Macaca mulatta: one gene and its partner. Each later gene encodes a partner of the first gene's protein in a complex. Links are inferred from orthologs where the notes say so. Each region holds a gene or a part of one and is shown on either strand. Other genes may lie near its edges.

Region 1 (5,759 bases):
CACACAAGCAGAAGCGCTGGAGATGCAAGATTTCTGGGTCTTAGAACCCATTTCCAGATCAGTTTTCAGCCAGGGGCTTACCAAGTATTTCTCAGGTCCTTCTCGGCCAGAGGAAAGAAGACACCTATAAGATCAGGCTCTGAGGTCACCCGGATCCAGCCAAGAGCAGTGTGGACACTGACCTGGTCACCTCCTGTCTCTATTAGAGTTGGTACAAAGAGCTGATGCTTGGGTAGGCTACCCTACCCCCACCAGCCCTTCCAGGCCAGGGTATGTGCTGGGTGTCTTCAGCTTTCCAGCTTCTACAACAGATCTTGGGAAAAGATAAAGAGGCATTGTCCCTGCTTTCCAGGACCACAATGCTGGAAGGTGAGCTCTCCTGGGGAAAGATGTAGGGACCACAAATTGCTGGTCTCTTCTCAACCACCACAAACCCTGACGGTTGGGGAAAGGCAGGGTGCCATGTCTTCTCACTCCCTCCCATCTGAGCCCTTCTGGTAGGTTATGCCTATCCTAGAAAATGTTGTCTTTTGCGTGCCTGGACCTGTAGTTCAGAAGGTCAAAATTGGTCCCTCTTGCTCCTGGCCCCACTCTACCACCTTTGCCAGCTCAGTTTCCTTATCTGCAAGGTGGGGAACGGGGTGGGGTTTGGCAGCAACAAACCCCACTGTGTGTGAAACCTTCCAGTTCACAGCCAACAAAGTGTTGGTCTCAATTCTCTAAAGCCAGTTACCACCTTGGAACCCCAACTTCTTCCAGGGATAAGATTTGTCTCTGACCTTGCCTCCCTAACCAGGTTTCTGAGACTTCAATGAGCATGCTTAAAACTACCAGAGTATCTTCTGTATGATAAAAGATGAATCGAGGGCTCAGAGACATGACTGATGATATGGTATGGGATCCTGAATCTGCTTCTATGGTACCTTGGGCTTTTTCTACTGCTCCAAGCTGTCTGAGGGCCCACCACCTGTCTGGCCTGACCAGGGCCTGCCCTTTCCTGCAGGGAAGTGGATGCAGGCACCCTGGATTCTCTGGGGTCCAACCCACATCCCCACCCAGCACTACATCTGCCATATAGAAGTTCAATAAATGCCTCAGCTACTCTGAAATGCCTTCAGTAACTTGACCTTTTACATTCCCCAGCTAATGTCTAATTTGCATATATGAGTCCTTTTCAGGAGATGGCAAATCACTAGAGACAACGCAGGACCAATACAGAGTATTAGGCACGTTCTATTCTACTCTAATTCTCTGCAAATTGGTATTCCATTAACTGCATGTGGGATTTATGGGAGCTCGCTATAAACTAGAATATTTAACTAGAATGGCCTACTCTGTCAGATAATAGCTTACTGTTGTTAATTTTCAACTAGTCAATCTCAAAAAAGTTTCCAACTTCCAATATACTTCACATCTTGATTTAATCATCCGGAAAGTCATCCATATCAAAGCCTCCATACAACAAAGGGGCAGGCAGCTTGATGCAGAAGAAAAAGACCTGCCCTTGGAACCAGGAGACTTGGGTTACACATCCCAGCTCTACCACATACTGTGTAACTGGCTGCTCAGAGCCTCAATGTCCTCATCTGTAAAATGGGAGTGACACCAGCCTCACAAGAGTTGTAAAGATTAAATGAGATGATACAGGTGAATGTACTCTGTAAGTTCTACAAGGTTATGCAAAGGTTAGTTATTACAAAAGCACAAGATGAAATTATCAAACAACTCAGGCTAATGACAGAAAGCATGAATTAAACTGGTGTTTCTAAAGGGGTGTGGGAGTGGCATTTTGCTCCCTAGGAGACATCTGACAATACTGGAAGCATTTTTGGTTGGAACAACTGGGAGACAGGAATTGCTACTGCAATCTACAGACCAGGGATGCTTCTAAATCCTACAATGCCCACGACACAAAGAATTATCAAACCCCAAATGTCAATAGTGCAAGGCTGAGAAACCCTGATCTAAATAATCACTTAAAGTTGGATTTGAGAGCTTTTTAGAACAGAAATCTTCCTAAGCAGGCTTTACTTTCTCCCATCATCTGCTTAAACATTTGCAAGATGGATCATCTTACAAAACAGCTCTTTTGTAAGTGAAGCCAAACTGCCAACTTCTGGAGTTTCTGAATGTATAAAACTGCTTTTAAAGGAGATGCTCTCTGATTACAATTTGGCTAAATTGCTTTTCCGAAGGCCTTGACTTCGGCAGAAGTTCTCCTGGGCACAGAGATAGGGTCTGTCACTCCACCAGTAGGCCGTGAAGATGGTTTCCTAATTCTAATTTCCTGCTGAAATGAGAGCCACGAGGGTCTCTAAACGAATTAAATTCACATCACGCCAACTGCTTGCTAGCTTTGTGCCGGGCACGGTGCCAAACACCTCCACATAATTTATCCCACTTAAGCCACTCAACAACCCAGCGAGGTGGGCATTATTACCAGCTGTTTGCAAGAGAGGAAACTGAGGACCAGCGAGGTTAAACAACTTGCCCAAGGTCACTAGCTGGCCAAAGGGGAGTCCAACTTGAACGGAGGTCTCCAGTTTCCAAGTCACAAGCTCCTTCCACCAACTCGGAAAACCCAGGTGTCAAGTTGTCTCAACTTCCCATGAATTTTTAAGGCAACGGCAACTTCTCAGTAAGTTTAGGTAGCTGAAAATGGGAATTTCCGGGGGGCTGGGCACTCTCACATACACTCCCCCCTCTGCAGCTCTCTCACCGCAGGTACCTGATAAATCATTCCATATCGCCCGCGGAACGGGGAGGATTTATTGGCGCTGGAGTTTCGTGCCAGGCCCAGGAAATGCCATCTTTGAAAGCCGAGAGGCGGATTCACCCTGGGAGCCAAGCGCTGGCCGCCGCGCTTGGCTGGCTCCCCACGCGCTGTGCGCCCCCTCGGAGCCCCAAGCCGGGGTCGCGGCGGCGCGGGGTCCTCCGGGGGTGCCGGTGGCACGGGCTCCGCGGGTTGCGCCCGCCCCTGCCCGGCCGGAGCGCACGCCCACGCTCCAGCGCAGCGTCCCGGCCACCCGCCCGCCCGCCCGGCGGAGCCCCACCCGGCGCCCCGCCCGCGCCCTCCCGCCCTGGCCCCGCCAGGTGAGCGCGGCGGGGCGCCCCCTCCCCGCCCCGACGTGGTGCGGGGACCCGGTGCCGCCGCACCCGCCAGCCCGCCCGCGCGTCCGCCGCGCGCCCCAGGGACGGGTGGGGGCGGGGTGGCGCCGAGCGCGACCCCGGCCCCCGGCAGCCCCGCGCCCTGCCCCTGGCTCGCTGGGGTCGCACTGGCCAGTACCTGAAGCATCCGGGGGCGCAGAGCGCCCAGGTAGGTCGCGCGTGCGGGCGGCGCGGAAGCTCGCTCGCGGCGCGACCTGGCCGCCGTCTGAGCATGCCCAGTGCCGCCCGCGGGCGGTTCCCGCCGGCCGGGCTGGCCGCGAAGGGCCCGCGCGCCGGGCGGGGGGCGGGCGTCCGGGCTGGCCTGCGGTGTTCTCCCGCCCCCGCCCCAGGCTGGCGCGCCCCGACGCATCTCCTGGGGCCACCGGGGCTCTCCGCCGAGCTCCGGGCAGGCCCTGAGTTCCCTCACGCATGCATGCAGCCATTCGTTCCACAACCATGACTGGGCACCTACTGTGTGCCAGGCCCTCAGTGATTTCATGCCTGGGGAAGGCAAGCAGTCGGCGCCCAAAGAAACTTTGAAACGAGGAGTCTTGCACGACGGGTGCGCGGTAGAGCCGAGGTCCCGCTGACTTCCAGTCCAGTGCTCGTCCCGCGGCACTAGTAAGCTTCCCTGGTTAAACCTCCCCAAGGCTCGTGGGACCCCTACCTGGTCTGTGCTCCCGCTTCCCACTTCCGCCTCATCTCACACCTGCCTTCCTGAGGATCCTAGAGCACCTTTCTGTCCATCAGACTCTGGAACTTCACCAGCCTCAGGACATTGGCGCGCGCCTTTCCCTCTGTGGGACGTTCTTACCCAGCTTTTCACGTGGCCGGCGCCTTCTCATTGTACATAGGTCCCCTCCTCAGAGAGGCCTTTCCTGACCACCTTCCTCGATTAGCCCTCTGCTCCTGGCCACTTCATGTACTTTATTTTCTTCACAGCATTTAACACGATTTATCCATTATCAGCAAATATTTATTGAGCACCTATTCTGGTTCTTCTCGCGTGGTGAACAAATAGACAAAAATTCTGTCCCCCCGTGGAGTTTGGGGAAAGAGGGACTGGTGACAGATAAACAGCAAATTAGCCAACTGTGCGTTATATTAGAAAGTGATAAGTTCTAAGAGGGAAAAAGAGCAGGGTCAGGAGGTTTGGGGGTGGAGGTAAGTAGTGAATTTTCAGTGAAGCAGTCGGATAGGGCCCTTGAGCTGATGGGCGGTCTGATCGGGTGACACTGAGAAGGTGATAGTAGTATTTCAGCCACGCAGATAAGCGGGTAAGAGCATTCCTGGCCGAGGGAACAGCCAGTGCAAAGACCCAAAAGGGCGCCGGACCGCTTAGGGAACGGCAAGGAGGCAGAGGAGCAGATGAGATCTGTCACTTTGGCTTTTCCTCCGATTTGTTTAATTCTCATGTTGTATTTCCCTCCTGAATGTCAGCTTTGGGGCTGTAGCTCTGCTTGTCTTTACTGCAGGGACCCCCCTGCGACACCGTCTGGCACACAGTAGGCGCTCAAACATTATTTGTTGAATATGTGAACGAAGGGATGCAGAGATGGCTGGAACCCTCCAGTCGGGCCTGGGTGCCAGGTCCTGGGGGCGGTCGTTCCAGGGATAGACTGAGGCCCCGGCAACCCCTAGAAGCTCATTTCGGTCCTTGTCCCCGAGCCGCATGTCCCGGGATAACGCCGCTGCAGCGGGTGCCGCCCGGGCGTCGCGTCGGGGGGAATTCCGACGGAGCCCGGAGTCCAGGGGCAGGACCGCCCGCGCCCCGCCCGGCCTCGAGTCGCCAGCAAAACCTGGAGCTGCGGCGCCCGCTCAGCACCATTCGGACCGGCGGGGAGCGCACTGGGCATGCTCGGAGCCGGGCGGGGCTGGAGCCCCCGGAAGGAGGAGCCCCCTGGAGGGGCAGGCGACGCCCCCCGCAGAGCTCCACCCAGCGCCCCGGGGCTCAGCGGGTGGCATTCTCTGTGCTTTCCCCGCTGCCTCATCCTCTGTGCTTCAACCATTGTGAATACCTACGCTTCAATCTGGGCCCCAAGTGGAAGTTGAATGAAATAAGGAACGTAAACGTGTTTAGACTACCTTAAAGATCCATTTGTTGAGTGGCTACCTAAATCAACAGTCATCCTCATGCCAGTTTGCCAACTGCTGAGATGAGGAAAACGAGGTCAACGGAGGATGTGTGAATTTTCGAAGTTGTCTTAATTTGCTGACCCCTAGACTGAAACTCCCTTTTCTTTTCTCACAGCTGACAGCCGTCAGCTTAAACGATGCCCTCAAATTCGAGCTAGAAACGTGCTTACACCTAAAGGAAAGACCTAAATATTTTTAATATCATGCATTTTAAATCACCATAACAGAAGCAGGAACAAAATGAAAGAATACTCCCCAAATTGGAAACAAAGTACTCAACAATAGAGGGATGATTAATTAGGTTATGGTATATTAGTTGAAATAATAGCTATCTTATACTAAGTTAAAAAGACCATGTTGCAACAGGGAAAACTTAGGGTACAATGTTAAATGAAAAAAAAAATGCAGAAACCAGGTCGGGTGAGGTGGTTCATGCCTGTAATCCCAGCACTTTGGGAGATCCAGGTGAGATGGTA
Region 2 (5,979 bases), on another chromosome or scaffold:
GCCCAGCTGTGGGTCCCAGGACCATGTGGGGGAGGGTGTGGGGCAGAGTAGTATGGGGGGGGTTGGCAGTGTGCATCCCCCACTCAGGCTACAGGAAGAGAACCCCATGCCAACCTGGAACCTGAAGCCAGTGCCCAGAGCTGCCCACCACCCCTTGTGCCCAGCAGCCAGCCCAGGTCGGCACTCACAAGTCTGTGAAGTCATCCAGGGTCTCATCAGGAGTGAACACATCCAGCAGCCCAATCACCTGGGGGGCCAGGTAGGGTTGAGAGTGCAGCGGAGGACACGGGCTGGGGCCCCCCCCAAGAGTGGCACAGCCCTCTGGGCAGGAAACCCCCTCTGCAGCTGTCGTCATGCCCCACTGTCCAAAGGGCCTGGCTCTGCCCACTGGCAGCGTGGCCCAGCCCTGGCACACATACCCACAGACAGGTTATTTTTGGATGGTGACAGCCGGGATCTTCTGGGGGAAGGGCAACCCGGAGTCTGGGCTGGCTCTGAACCATCCAAAGGGCTCCTACCACTTGCCCCTTTCTCCCCTCTTCTCCCCAACCAAGCAGACTGACACCCAGGGAAGGGATAGTGCTATGAGGAGAGGCCAGGCCTCTGCTGGTGAGGCCCAGGTGGACAGCACCATGACCCGCCAGACCTGGTCCCCACAGCACCCCTGGTTGGGGAGATGGACAGTGGACAGGTCATGTGATAACTGCTGCCTCAGCATTTTGGGGTGACAGGGTCCCAGGGAGGCCCGGAGAAGTTCTGCACAGCCAAGGATGGAGGGGCAGGTAGACATGTGGGCTGCGGGACACCCGGCAGAGGGCACATGCAGAGTGGCCAAGGCAAGAGGGAGAACACTTGGGAGAGTTTGAGGAACACAGGGAGGGAGGCCAGGTGGCCAAGGCCCAGGCCAGGGAGGGGCTGAGGAGAGGCCAGAGGGAGCCGGCAGGGCAGCACACACCAGGTGAAAGTTTGGCTTTGATCCCAAGAGACAGGGAAGGATTTAAATGGGTGTGATGCTAAACGCGTCCTGCTGGCCGTGGTGTAGGGACTGGCCAGAGTGAAGCAAGAATGGACCTAAACTGGAAGGACAGCTCTGCCAGAGCCATGGGCAAGAATGTGGAGGGAGGAGGAGAAGGAACAGAGGCCCGTCCAGGGAGGCCTGGGAACAGTGGGGTCTGTGGACACGACAGCTGGAGGGTGCCCAGGAGAGCGCTTTGGCAGAAGATGGAAAGCAGGGTCCTGTGGGCTAGGGGCCATAGGACTTGGCTTGGCCTCTGTGGTGTGGGGGCTGGCCTGGAGAGGGAGGTGGCATGGGGATGGCAGGACTGGGGCCTGTGGCAGAGCCTCCTCCCCCGCTGAGCAAGGCATGTGGCCTCACAGAGCTTCAGTCTTCCAGGAAGATGGGGTTCCAGGGAAGGAGCCTCAGCTGCAGGCCGGGAGCCCAGGGGGTGGACCCCCAGGCACAGCGGGGACCCCAGGACAGCAGGGCGGTGGCTAAAGAAAAGCCCAGCGCGGTGGGTCACGGCTGCACTCCCAGCAATTTGGGAGGCGAAGGCAGGCGGATCACGAGGTCAGGAGTTCAAGACCAGCCTGGCCAACATAGTGAAACTCTGTCTCTACTAAAAATACAAAAAGTTAGCCGGGTGTGGTGGTGGGTGCCTAGAGTCACAGCTACTAGAGAGGCTGAGGCAGGAGAATTGTGTGAACCCAGGAGGTGGAGGTCACAGATCGCGCCATTGCACTCCAGCCTGGGCGACAGAGGGAGACCCCATCTCAAAAAAGAGAAGCCCCAGTGGACGGGCGCGGTGGTTCAGGCCTGTAATCTCAGCACTTTGGGAGGCCGAGGCAGGCGGATCACTCGAGGTCAGGGGTTTGAGACCAGTCTGCCCAAAATAATGAAACACCGTCTCTACTAAAAATACAAAGCATTAGCCAGGCATGGTGGCATGGACCTGTAATCCCAGCTACTCAGGAGGCTGAGGCAGGAGAATCACTTGAACCCAGGAGGCAAAGGTTGTGGTGAGCCGAGATCATGCCATTGCACTCCAGCCTGGGCAACAAGAGCGAAACTCCATCTCAAAAGAAAAAAAAAAAGAAGAAAGAAAAGCCCCAGAGCACTTGGCTGGATGGGGCAAGGCCCAAGCAGGTGAGTGAGTGGGTGGGTGGGGGCAGGGGGCCGAGGGGAAGGCTACAGTCCTGGGGCAAGGTCTCGGTGTGACGGGCGGGATGGGGGAGTGCAGTGGTGGCAAGGTGGGGGCAGGGCCGGGTGTGACGGGGGTGTCGAGGTGGGGGCAAGGTTGGTGTCCACCGCAAACAGATTTCACAGGGCCCGGGGTGGTGAGCTGGGGTCAGGGTGGGCTATGGGAAGCCTCAGAGAAAAGGACCCACCCAAGGGGCTGAGAGAGTGGCGGTGGCCAGGAACCAGGGGGCGGGTGGTTTGCTGGTGGACGCAGGGACTCATTCTCCCAGGGCACCGGTGGCTCGGATGACCCAGGAGGGTCCAGAGCATCTCACACTGGAGCTAGGGTCCGGGCGCCCAGGCCACCTGCCTTCAGGCTGGGCCCAGACCAGGGGCAGGGCAGGAGTGACATGGGGGGCAGTGGACAAGTGGGACTGTGTCCAGAAACCAGAGGGCCCCTGGCAGAGAAGTCCGGCTCTTCGCAGCCAGCCACTCCGTGGGAGAGGCCCAGGGCAGCTGTGCATGGCATCTCACAGGCAGGACTGGAAAGGATGGGCCCCCACAACGAAAGGGAGGGTGTCTGTGAGATGACCACCACGCCCAGTGCCCCCCAAACAGCAGCTCCCTGAACCCTTCACTCACCCCCAGGGTTCACCATACTCCCTACGTTCTGGCGCCCCCCTCCTCCCCCTCCACCGGGTCGGAAGACTCGGGAGATGGACAGCAACAAAGTGGGCTCCACAGAGGGGCTGGAGAGGGGCCCGGATGGGAAAGAGAAGGTGCCCCTTCCAGGAAAATCCTCCTGCCGGGAGCATCCTCTCACCGCGGGCTTCCTGGCTGGGGGCAGGGTTTGGCGTGAGACCTGGAGGATCCCCTGGGCCTGGCCAAGTCGTGTCCCCTGACCAGGGCCTGGCTGAGACGCCAAGTCAAGGGGCTCTTTCCCGGGCCTGGCAGAGGAGGGGGAATGGCCCTTGGGGGAGTCGTCTCCTTGCTCTCCTTCTCCCCTGGGGGCCCACGGCCCGACCCCCGCCCCGCCCCACAGCAGGTTGCCTGGGGAAGGGGTTGCCGGGTGGAGGGACCCAGCCCAGCCGAACCCAGCCGAGGCCGGGGCGCCTTCCCGGAGCGGGGTCGCGCGACTCACGTTCTCGTGGCGCATGTGCTTGAGCAGGCGCAGCTCGCGGTAGGCGCGCTTGGCGAACAGCTCCGACTGGAAGGGCCGGTACAGCTTCTTGATGGCCACCTTAGCGCCGGTGCGGCTGTCCACGGCCGAGCTGCGGGGCGGACCGCTTAGCGGGAAGGCCGGGCACCCCGCGCAGGCCCCGCCCGCCCCGCCGGCCGCCCCGCGCTCACCACACCGCGCCATAGGCGCCCGAGCCCACGGGCTGCAGGTCCCGGTACACGGCGCGCACCTCCCAGGCCGTCTTAGTCACCTCCTGGCGGTAAAAGCCACTGCGGGCAGGCGGCGGAGAGCTCATGGCAGGCCCGGGAGCCGCCCACCCCGCAGAGCCCGCGGGCGGTGCCCCAGGACCGGGGACCTGGGATCGGCGGGGCTTCCTCGGCGTGCGCCCCGGGCCGACTCCGCGCTGCTCGCCCGCCCGCCGCTGGGACGCTCCTGTTCCCGGCCCTTCCCTCGGGGATGTCCCAGGTGCCGACCCTGGCCCGACCCCGACCCAGGCAGCGCACGGCCCCTCCCCCGCCCGGGGACCAACCGGCCCGCGGGCGGCGCGCACGTGACGCCCTCGCCCGCCCTCCGGCCCCTCCGGAAACCCGAGGCGGCCGCCGCCGGGGGAGGGCCGGAGCCTGGGGGGAAGCGCAGGGGGAGGGGAGCGCCGCCCCGCAGCTTTGTTCCGACCTAGGGCCGGACGCGGCGCGGAGATACCCCTGTCAGCCTCTCCCCTTTGGCTGAACTGCCCCGCTCTGGGGGTGGAGCCGGGGGAGTGGGGAGCTCCTGCTGAGACCCTGGGCTCCAGTCCTGACTGCCCATGGTTCCAGGGCGCAGGGCCCATCCTTGACAGCCTGAGCGCTGACTTCTATCGGCAGTCCCAAGTTGGGCTGAGCCCTGTGTACCTAGAGTCAACTTCCCACGCCACCCCCAAGGATGCCCTACCTCTGCGCCTGATCCATCCATCCCCGAATGGGGGGTCCATCTGCACCTGTCTTGCCTGTATCCCTCTTTCTACACGGAGGGGTCTGTCTCCCAAAATCCTCAGGCTGCATCCCCAACCCCACCCCTGTGGCCACTGACCCCGGGCCTCTCAGTCCCATAGGTCCCCGAGGGCCCTTTTGGACACCCAACTCCTCCCCCTGCTCCCCCCATCTGCGGGGTGACTGCTGCAAGTGTTGCAAGTGCTGGTGCCCCTGCCCGTCCCATCCCTGCCTGTCCTGTCCTGCAAAACCCAGGCTGAGGGTGGCTGCACTGTCTCCAGCAGGGATGGGGACCTGCTGGGGCCCTCAGCCTGACCCCTCTGTGTGGGCATTATCCTCCCATATGTCTGGCCCCATCCTAGACCAGATGCTCTGGTGGGCGAAGCCCCACCCTGACACCCCCACCGCAGTCCAGAAACCTGGGTCTGAGGAGGGATGTGGGTGCACCCCGGGAGCCCACTGGGCTGGTGGGTAACAGGATCGCTAGGGCCCTCTGCCCCGCCCTCCGGCCATGAATCAGCAGCTCAGCCGCTCAAGGGCGGGAGGAGCTTTACACCTGGGCTTTGGGCTGTGTTCCGTGGCATTCATCAGCTCGTGCCCAGTGAGCAGGGGCAGCCCGGGGCTGCCCAAACCACAGCTGCCTGTGGCCTGCACCCTTTGTGCCCTGGGCTGCCTGTGGCACTCCATCTACCTCTTTCAGGAAGCCCAGCTGCCACTGCTGTCCCCCTTAACTCCCCGTGGTGGAGCTCAGGGGTCCAGAAGGCCCCGCACAGACCAGGCTTCTGAGGGGGGGCTGTGTCCCCATTCTGCTCCCACCCCCAACCGCCAACACTGGACTTCCCCCAGGACTGACCACTACACTGATGAGGCCCCAGGAGGGCCCCCAACTCCCAGACAGTTTCCACCCCTACCCAAGACCCAAGCAAGGGCACAGACTGTCCCTGGCCCCTAGAGACACTGCCTGACCCCAAATGGTCTGGCCCCTCCCCCACACGTAAGCTGCAGAGCATAGTGGGAACGGGACCAGCACACACATTCTCTGGGTTAAAGTGGCCTCTTTTTCCTTCACCAGGAAGGAAAGGAAAGCTATTTTCCCTAGCCCACCCAGCCCCCACCCAGGGATGGGCAGACCCTTGCTCCCTTGACACCCAACTCCCCCCCAGCCAGCTTCCCTGACCACTGAGGGGTAGGGAGGTGGTGTCTGGATCTTGGCCCAAAGCCAAGCCTGCCCAGTACATCCCCACAGGGCAGCTGGGGTCACCATCTGGGTGGCCGTCCCACCCTGTGCCCTCAGAGCCCACCCATCAGCCGTGTCCTCCCCTGGTCCCCCTGGGCTCAGACCCTCCAGGGAGCAGGGAGGGTGCCAGAAGATGGCCACTGGTCTGACTGGGGGCCTGAGGGATCTGGCCAGCTAGAGGTGAGTGATGCAGAGTGACCCAGACACTCCCCCCATGCCCAGCAGTGGGGATGGCGGGGGCAGCAGGGCCTGGAGTGGCCTTTGGATATGAACCGAGCGAGATAACCCCCTTTATTGTGCACCCCTGGTGCAGGCACTTGACACCCAGGCTTCCCTGGGCCCCTCGAGGCAAGAGGTCACCCCCTTTCCAGGGCAGAGCCATACCCCCAACTCAGCTCTGGGCAGGGTCCCGTCTCCGAGG

What was found.
Region 2: the proteins of PTPN3 (region 1) and MAPK12 are in contact, whole or in part, in a crystal structure (PDB 4QUM), measured with the Homo sapiens proteins. The link is inferred for Macaca mulatta from reciprocal best matches to the Homo sapiens genes PTPN3 and MAPK12. Residues at the interface, in NP_002820.3 of Homo sapiens: Arg655, Leu671, Asn674, Arg675, Tyr676, Lys677, Asp678, Val679, Arg751, His812, Ser843, Ala844, Gly845, Ile846, Gly847, Arg848, Met883, Gln886, Thr887; in NP_002960.2 of Homo sapiens: Met182, Thr183, Gly184, Tyr185, Val186, Val187, Arg189.

The regions. Positions count from the first base shown.
Region 1 is NC_133420.1:48,896,552-48,902,310, reverse strand, and holds the start of PTPN3 (tyrosine-protein phosphatase non-receptor type 3), read right to left. Parts: upstream 3,909-5,759; 5' UTR 3,815-3,908; intron 3,376-3,814; exon of another isoform or gene 3,287-3,375; intron 3,045-3,286; exon of another isoform or gene 2,441-3,044; intron 1-2,440.
Region 2 is NC_133415.1:1,184,427-1,190,405, reverse strand, and holds the start of MAPK12 (mitogen-activated protein kinase 12), read right to left. Parts: upstream 3,924-5,979; 5' UTR 3,652-3,923; coding exon 3,527-3,651; intron 3,448-3,526; coding exon 3,318-3,447; intron 248-3,317; coding exon 189-247; intron 1-188. UniProt on the Homo sapiens protein: Serine/threonine kinase which acts as an essential component of the MAP kinase signal transduction pathway.